2 linked regions of the Sus scrofa genome follow. The main gene of each other region encodes a partner of the protein of the gene in region 2 in a complex. Links are inferred from orthologs where the notes say so. Each region holds a gene or a part of one and is shown on either strand. Other genes may lie near its edges.

Evidence for each region.
Region 1: mitochondrial import inner membrane translocase subunit Tim23 (region 2) and TIMM17A share a complex: the UniProt entries of both Homo sapiens proteins name them as parts of the TIM23 complex. The link is inferred for Sus scrofa from reciprocal best matches to the Homo sapiens genes TIMM23 and TIMM17A.

What each region holds. Positions count from the first base shown.
Region 1 is NC_010452.4:24,198,866-24,203,441, reverse strand, and holds the start of TIMM17A (mitochondrial import inner membrane translocase subunit Tim17-A), read right to left. Parts: upstream 3,098-4,576; 5' UTR 3,043-3,097; coding exon 3,017-3,042; intron 1-3,016. UniProt on the Homo sapiens protein: Essential component of the TIM23 complex, a complex that mediates the translocation of transit peptide-containing proteins across the mitochondrial inner membrane.
Region 2 is NC_010456.5:90,479,506-90,483,871, reverse strand, and holds the start of mitochondrial import inner membrane translocase subunit Tim23, read right to left. Parts: upstream 2,918-4,366; 5' UTR 2,677-2,917; coding exon 2,571-2,676; intron 338-2,570; coding exon 279-337; intron 1-278. Other genes in the region: PARG (poly(ADP-ribose) glycohydrolase), read left to right, coding at 3,154-3,373. UniProt on the Homo sapiens protein: Essential component of the TIM23 complex, a complex that mediates the translocation of transit peptide-containing proteins across the mitochondrial inner membrane.

The sequences.
Region 1 (4,576 bases), on a different chromosome or scaffold from region 2:
GATGCAGCTCAGATCCCACGTTGCTCGGTGTAGGCAGGTGGCTACAGCTCCCATTAGACCCCTAGCCTGGAAACCTCCATATGCCCCGGGAGCTGCCCAAGAAATGGCAAAAAGACAAAAAAAAAAAAAAGGGCGGAAAGACAGAGGAGAGTCACTAACTTTAAACAATCTAACCTAAATGATCCTCTAATCAGAACAGAAATAAATCAGCATTTAAGAAATGAAGACTAGCAGGAGCCAGGAATTCCTGCTGTGGCACAGCAGCTTAAGGATTCAGCATTGTCTCAGTGGTGCTGGTTTGATACCCTGCCCTGTGCAGTGGGTTAAGGACCCAGCATTGACACAACTACAGCTCAGATTCAATCCCTGGCCCAGGAACGTCCATAGGCCTCAGGTGAGGCCATTAAAAAAAAAAAAAAAAAAAAAGGATTCAGATCAGAGCAGCCACAGTATTCGGACAGGATGTCCCAAACAAAGGCAAGACGGAAAGTTTCTGAACAAAGCCTGGCTAAATCCAAATGTGCCTGCAGGGAACTGATGGTCTACACCAAAGGAAGGGTGAAGCCAGATTCTAAAAGCAAATGCTAGGAAGTTCCCGTCATGGCTTAGTGGTTAACGAATCCGACTAGGAACCATGAGGTTGCAGGTTCGATCCCTGGCCTTGCTCAGTGGGTCAAGGATCCGGTGTTGCCGTGAGCTGTGGTGTAGGTCACAGACGCAGCTCAGATCTGGTGTTGCTGTGGCTGCTGTGTAGGTGCGCAGCTGTAGCTCCGATTGGACCCCTAGCCTGGGAACCTCCACATGCCTCAGATGCGGCCTTAGGAAAGACAAAAATGCCAAAAAAAGAAAACTGGAAGAAAAAAAAAGCAAATGCTAGGCAAATACAGGGCAACAAGAACCAATAACCAATCATACCAAGATTAAAAGTCATCAACTACACTGTAGGTACCTTTCGGACTTTCAAGAAAGCTAGATTATTTTCTTATAGAATCCCTATCTTTTAACTTTGCAAAAGAGTATTTGTCTCCTCTCCATTTTACAGATGAACAGGGACTCAGAGATTAGGTAACTTGCCCAAGGTCAAATAAAAAATACCTAGGAGTTCCCGTCGTGGCTCACTGGTTAACAAACCCAACTAGTATCCATGAGGATGTGGGTTCAATCCCTGGCCTTGCTCAGAGGGTTAAGGATCTGGTGTTGCCGTGAGCTGAGGTGTGGGCCGGCAGCTGCAGCTCCAATTCGACCCCTAGCCTGGGAACTTCCATATGCTGCAGGTTCAGCCCTAAAAAGACCAAAAAAAAACCCCCAAAAAATCCCAAAAAACAAACAAACAACAACAACAAAAAACCTAGTCGTTCCTGTCATGGCCCAGCAGAAACAAATCCAACTAGGGGTTCCATCCCTGGCCTCACTCAGTGGGTTAGGGATCCGGTGTTGCCATGAGCTGTGGTGTAGGTCACAGACATGGTTCGGATCCCGAATTGTTGTGGCGTAGGCAGGCAGCTGTAGCTCCAATTTGACCCCTTGCCTGGGAACCTCCATATGCCATGGGTGCGACCCTAAAAAACAAAAAAAAAAAACCAACCAAACAAAAAAAAAACCTAGTAGAACCAATTTAAATACAAAATCTAGTACTCCAAAGCCCCCAAATTCTTTCCACTACATCCTATAGACTAAGGGCTTTTGAAAAGAAAACATGATTAAAAAGTATTTAGGGTGGCTGTGGCGTAGGCAGCAGCTACGGCTCCGATTGGCTCCGATTGGACCCCTAGCCTGGGAACTTCCGTATGCTTCGGGTGCAGCACTAGAAAAGACAAAAAGACAAAAAAAAAAAAAAAGAAAGTATTTAGGACCATTAAGTACCTATCATACATTTAAGGAAGAGGACAGAAGGAAAACAATAAAGAAGCTTCTGTAAAAGGCATTAAGGACAGAGGTAAGGTCCTGACTACAGGAACTGAAAGCGCAAGTCCTCAAAGAATTCCGACGACAGCAAGGGGGCTGGGTGGGGTGGTGTGCAGGGAGGGCAAGATGCTTGTAGTTTGAGCCTGGATGACCTTAGGGACCAGGGTCTTCCAGAAGATCAAAGCAGTTGAGGACAAAGCCAACCTGAGAACTGAACTGACCATGCGGCTTCAGAACATCCGGAGTAAGAGAGCACAAAGGGGCCATTAAATGCGTTTGTAGATGACAACTATCACTCCCTAACACCTCTAACAACCAAGTGAAACAACTTCCCCTCCTGCCAACTTGTGCCCTATCATACCTGACATGAGCAGTATAGTATGCTGAGTCCTGCACACCTGAGTACAACCCAGGAAGGGGTATCACCTTTGGAGAAGGGAAATTTAAAGAACTGGGAGGCTCTGCAAAGTAATACTCTGTATCTCAGTTCAGGGAGGAAAAAAAAGCACAAAGCAGGCAACATGGCTTTTGCTGGCACGATTCGTTACAGAAAGCCCTGGCCCCTTCCGACAGATGGAAAGCACCGGTGATTAACCCAAGTAACACGTTCTATTTTCACTCCTGACCCCAGAAGCCTCAAACTTTGCAGGTCGGACTCCTCCATGCTTTCCTTCTGAGGACCGAGCGACTGCGGAGCACAGGCAGCCCCCTGCCCCAAAACATCGAATGGACCGACTCCCGTCGGTGGCTTTTCGAGAACACACGCCTCGCCCCCACGGGAGAGTCCCCAGCCCGGCCCTCGCCCCCAAGCGGCCTCCTCGGCCTGGCTCCCTCCCCACGCAGGCTGAGCCACGCGGGCACAAGGACGAGCCAAGGTCGCCGGAGGGCAGAGGGGCTGCTTCCCACCCGCAGGTCGGACAGGGGCCGCGTCTGCACAGCTGAGCCGGGGCGCCCTCGAGTCGCCGCAAGGTCACCGGCTGAGAAGCCGGCCGCTCACGCCTGCGTGCCTATAGCCCCGGCGCCGCCGAGCCTGGCGCTGAGCGGTCTCGCCTCGGGAGCCAGGCTGGGCCGAGCCGGGCCGGGAGGCAGGCAGCTCGGCGAGAAGGCTCACCAGGGCTCGCGCGCGTATTCCTCCATCTTGACTCCGCGGCGCCGCGATGCCGGGTAAACGGGGCGGGGCCTGGCCCGGCGGCGGAAGTGATCCCGGGAGGAGGGCGTTAGAATCTGCGGGGATTGGCTCGCCACCTCCTCCCGCAGCCAATGAAAGCCGGGGCCGCGGGGCGGAAGGCGGGGCTCAGACCAGAGGGGCGGGCCTCCGAGGCGGAGGGGCGGTGCGTGTGGGTGGCCGCGTGGGGAATCCCAGGTGAGGAGAGGTACCCAGAGCTGAAGCTGCGGGGCCTGGTGGGGCCCGAAACAAAACTGCCGTTGTAACTCGAACCTCCCGAATGACTTTCTCTGTTTTAGTACCCGGCTGTCAAGTGCGAATTACTGCTGCCAACTTCGACGGGTCGGTAAGGCCCCCACTGCTGCCACGGAGCTCCTTAAGATGGGCAGTACCTGAATATTTTATCTCGGGGGGGCCGGAATGTAGTGAACGTTCCATGAATGTTTGTGAACACCTGGGGCGCTGCCGTGATTCATGGGGGACCTTAACATGGGGGACAGCAACAACAGAGTTCTTCCGGACCTCACTCTAAATGATCCCGGGAGATGTAAGGGGGGCTTAGCCCAGAGGAGGAGACAAAAGGCTGGGGGCCATCGGCCTGAAAGCAAAACCTCAGTCAGGTGACAGCTGCTATAGGTCTCCATCCTGAACATCTGAGATTGACTTTAAAATGTCCAGAGTTCCTCTGGTGGCTCAGTGGTTAAAGAACCCGACTAGTAACCAAGAGGTTGCAGGTTCAATCCCTGGCCTCGCTCAGTGGGTTAAGGATCTGGCGTTGCCCTGAGCTGTGGTGTAGGTCACAGATACGGCTCGGATCCTGTGTTGCTGTGGCTCTGGCATAGGCTGGTGGCTACAGCTCCGATTGGATCCCTAGCCTGGGAACCTCCATATGCCATGGGTGTGGCCCTAAAAAGACAAAAAAAAAAAAAAAAAAAAATCCTCAACGAAACAAAACATGTGTGTACATTTATTTCATGGAAAAGTTTCTGTAATAAATAATAGCAAACTGCAGGGGGAATGAGGTTCCCCCCCCCAAATCTTGGAAATAAGGTGAAATGAACTGAACCCTCCACAGAACTAAATAAAGCTAGTCTGGAAGTGTGAAAACAACAATTCAAACCAGTCCTCTGACTTGGATGCCTGCGTCCAGGAGGGCTTACTTATTTGGAATGTGTGAATGTAATTAAAAACACTTCAGGGAGTTCCCATGGTGGCTCGACGGGTTGAAAACTAGTTCTTTGGGGCTGGGCAAGGAGGCCTCGGACTTAGCCTTTGGCTGGAGGAGAAAGCTGTCACCCCACCCTTGGAAGTAGCCCTTCCATCTTAGAAGAAAAGAGCTGAATGGTCAGTGACATAAAGGAATGACAACAAGACTCATAGACAAAAGGACTGGGGTCCCCGAGAGTGAACTGACCCTGAGTCTGGGGGAGTGGAGTGGAGCTGGTAATCCAATGCTTCAGGGCTTATTTGGTGAAAGTGGGTGTTCTGGGCCAAGGATGAGATGGC
Region 2 (4,366 bases):
AAAGGTGGCAAATTTTGCTAGTGTATCTTATCACAATTTTAAAAAATGGAAAAAAAAAGACAAACCCCCCAAATCCTTTAATCAAGTAGTGTCAGGAAGAGAGGCAAACCAAATCCCCTGAGTTTATAAGGAAAAAAAGGTGAATGGAGACCAGAGACTTGGTGTCTCCAGAGGCACCAGGTACAGAAGTAAACGTTAAGTACTTGGGGTTATTTTTTTAAATGCATAGTTAAAGGACCAATCTAGGAAAATCATAAAAGGACTAGTCTAAATCTTACCTGCACAAGATATCGTGGATCCACATTTAAATAAGGAGACAGAGGATTCATACCAGTTACTAGAGAGAAAACAAAACATTACATGGCAATAAAAATTTTAAAAGTTATTTCATTTAGTGTTAATTCTGCTCTCGATTATTCACATGTTTTGCAGTTTTGAGTTATAAGTCCAATGAATGTAAATTTTTCTCCCACTTTCCTAGTCTTATCCTCCCTGTCTGGTAGTTTATGGGCTGCCTCTCTTGGGGCCCTTAATTTTGCACTTGTGTCTCAGGTTCTCATATTGGCAGTAACATGGATCAAATAATCAAAGTAGCGGGAAGCAAAGGCCAGGTCAATTATAAAACTATTTCTTTCTACTTTACTGCAAAAATGTTCAACAACTATACAGGGTGTAAAATAAGATTGACAAGAAACCAATTTCATAAGAAAAACATCATTTGCCTCATACGCTCTGTATAAATATTTAAAGGCAGTTCCTTCAGATCTTCGTGTTGACAGTTGCTGACAGGACTGATTTACAGGATACAGAATTCGTAGGTCTTCACCACAGGGATGGGGGTCATGGCAAAAGAAAATGGGACCTCTGAGAGGCCCAGACTTGAATTCCACTAACTTTGAAGATAGACAAATCAGGGAAAATCAACTTTCTCATGTTTAAAATTTAAACTTTGGATCCTCCTGCATCTCAGCTGATTGTTCACAAATCTACCCATTACCCAGGACTCTACTCATTATCCAGAATCGACTGCAAGTCTTATTAGTTGTATAAACAATACCTATCCCGAACTGTGTTCCTTACCATCTTTATTGCTACCATCCTGATCTAAGCACTAAGGCTCACATCCTAACCATCTCCTACCTAACTAGACTCCTTAAAAGGCTTAATAAACAGCACATTGGCTGCCATTCCTTGCCCTTCTAAATCTCATTATCTTCTATCACACCACCTTCTACACCATTGTGTAGACACAACGGCTTAATGGTTTGTTTCCTTCAACACTTACCCTTCCCCACATTTGTACTGTATTCAGGTCACAGCTCAAAAGCCAGCACCCCTGAGTTGCTTTCCCTGATCTGTTCTTAAAAGGCTTCCAGTTCCTACCATCTCAAGATCCTGCTTTATTGCCTTCAGACACTTAGTGATAAGTGTGTCACTGAAACATTTTTGTTACCTGGCTCACTTCAATAGGATGTAAGGTCCACAAAAACAGCAATCATCTTTTTAAATTTAACTGTCTTAGTTCTGCACCCAGAAAAATCCATCTACAGTACTCAATAAATGGTATTGACTCCATCTTTTAATTTACCTTCAAATTTCAATTAATGTAACAATGGTTTTTCACATTAAAGCAGAGCCCTTTGTGCTCCAAATGCGGAGCTCCTGTGACTTATTATACACAAACTCCCTACAGTTCTGTTCTATAAGTTATCATATACAAACTACGCCCTAAATTCAGTTTTGATACAGGTCACACTAGGAACTTCTAAGCGTGTTTAAAAAAAAAAAAGCTTTTTTGGTTTCTGAGCATAAAAGACCTAAAGAAGTAGTACGAAAATTCTTAAAAGAGAAAATAGTTTTATAAAACGCTTATCCTCCACCAACTTCCTATTTTTAGGTCCAAGTTCTAGTCATCCAGTTGAATACCCAGTTAGATAATTTCAAAGATCTAGAATACACATTCTTTGTACTGAGGAGCGCACAGGCAGGGCATTCGTGCTTCCAGCACCCTCGATTGTACGTATTTCCCTTCCTAAAATTCATATTGGCTTCTTTCTTGTCTATAAATTACCTTTAAAATTCAGCTCTCTTCCGTGTTCCCCTAGTTGTCTCGAATCATGTTTCTTTCTCCCCTGTATGCATGAGTGGCCCTGACGGCTACTTGTGGTTTTAGAATATGCGACTTTGAGCTAAAAAGTTATCTATGAACTCGGTATTTGGAATGCATTTACTTGCAGAAGGGGGTTTTCTTTTTCACCTAGAGCCAAGCACAAGGCCCAATATACAGGAATGTGCGAGAGGAAAGAGAAGGCAGAAAGCTTGAATATAAAAGGAAGAAAACATGCAGCATCTCCTGGTTGACATGATCCAGGACAACCACAGAAACCTTCTCCGGATCTATGGCTCCAAAAATTCGTTCGATGTCGAAAGAGCGGCCCCGGAGATACACCAACCCCACGATTGCTACTGAAGCTTGTGACCGCTAGCAAAAAAAGGACAGGGCACGCCGCAGGTTTGGCGTGGTGGCAAGAACCAGTCAGAAATGTTCGTAAGCTAGGCCCGATACTTACGCGGGACTCCCGCCAGATCCGCGTGCGAGTAGCCAGCTCCGCCGGCTCCGAAAAAGCCGGCCAATCCCCCTGTGGTTTTGTTGCCGCTTCCTCCACCGCCCTCCATGGTACTGCAGCAAACTACCGGTCTGCTTCTCCCCGCTGCTCAGGCCGGGATCGTCCGCTCGGCCGTTGCTCCTCTGTAACAGCGGGTGAAACCCGCGTTACCACCACCTCCTTCACACGCTGACCTTCCGGGCGCCGGCAGCACCTAAACCTCACATTTCCGCTTTGCGACAGCGTACGTCCCGGAAACCGGAAGCGCCTGACGGCAGCTTTCCGGTGGTGGGAAAGTGAACGGAGCAAGAAAATCAAAGCGGCGCATCCTGAGGCAGGTGGGGTGCCTGTGGAAGAGGGAAGGCAGGCGACTGGATAGGGCCTGGCTCGGGAGGCCTACGGAACAGCAGCTGCAGACGCAGGCAGCAGCAGAGAGGGCATGGTGCCGGGAGGCGCCGAGAAGGAGGCGCAGTCCGTCCCTCTCCGGGTTAGTGAATGAGGCTCTCCGCCCTGGCTGGCCCGGGGACTGTTCGCTGCGGGTCCCAGCATGAGTGCGGGCCCCGGCTGTGAGCCCTGCACCAAGCGACCCCGCTGGGGCGCCGCTGCAACTTCTCCGCCGGCCGCCTCGGACGCCCGGAGCTTCCCCAGCAGGCAGAGGCGCGTCCTCGATTCCAAGGACGCTCCCGTGCAGTTCAGGGTCCCGCCGTCCTCGTCAGGCTGCGTCTCGGGGCGGGCGGGACCGCACAGAGGCAGCGCCACCTCGCTTGGTACGTGGGGAAATAAAGCTCTTTGTCCTTCGCCTTGGCCCAAAGCTCTTCTTGGTCTCCGAGGACCCAGGGACTACAGCCCCCCATTTTCTGGTCTTGTATGCATCACTCTGAACGCTGAGGTCCCCTTGCTGAGCCATCAAGGCCACTAGTCGGGGAATGGGGCCCCATTTTCCCCGTGGCGATTGGTGGTGTGAGAACCCCTGACAAGCAGTCACTCAGCATGGGAAGCGGCGAGAGACTCCACCTGTTTGCTTTCCTTGGGTTTAATTGGAATTGCCTTGGTCGTTAAGGAGGTTTAATCTTTTACCTGAAGCTTCAGTCTCTAGATATAAAGAAAGTTACAAAGAAAGTCACAGCTGTCCTCAGTTTTAATTCTCAGTCTCTGGGTGGAGAGCCCTTAGTCTTACTGGCTTTACACCCGTCTTTGACATACAGTGGTGAACAAAGGTAACTTGGTCTGTTTTCAGACCCTAAAATCTATCAGAAGAGGTAGACAATGGCAGAGGTAAATATAATAAAGGGTAATGGATGTTCCAGTATATGAGACAGATAGTTAGGATAAGACGTCAGATGTGCCTGATCTAGTTTGAAGGTCAAAGATAATCTCCTAGCCAGAAGGTGAGGATCTTATTCTGAGGACTGAAGAGTGATGAGTTATTTAGATGAAGAGGAAGTTAAGGAAGTGATCCCACAGTGCAGCTGATGTAGGTTGTCCAGAGAGCAGTGAGAGATGGGATTGCAAAGAAGTAGACAAAGATCAGATCATATTGGGCAATGCTAAGAGGTTTGAGCTTTATCCTGATTGGACTTGATTGGAGATATATATGTATCAAAAATACATATAGTTTATTAAAATGTATATATTTTAAAGGTCCTTCCCTGGTATGTGGAAAATGAAGAATAGATTGAAAGGGAGCAGAAGTGCGGGCACAAGACTAGTTAAGGAGTTACTCTAGATAGGAGATCATGATGGTTTATACTTGGTTTCAG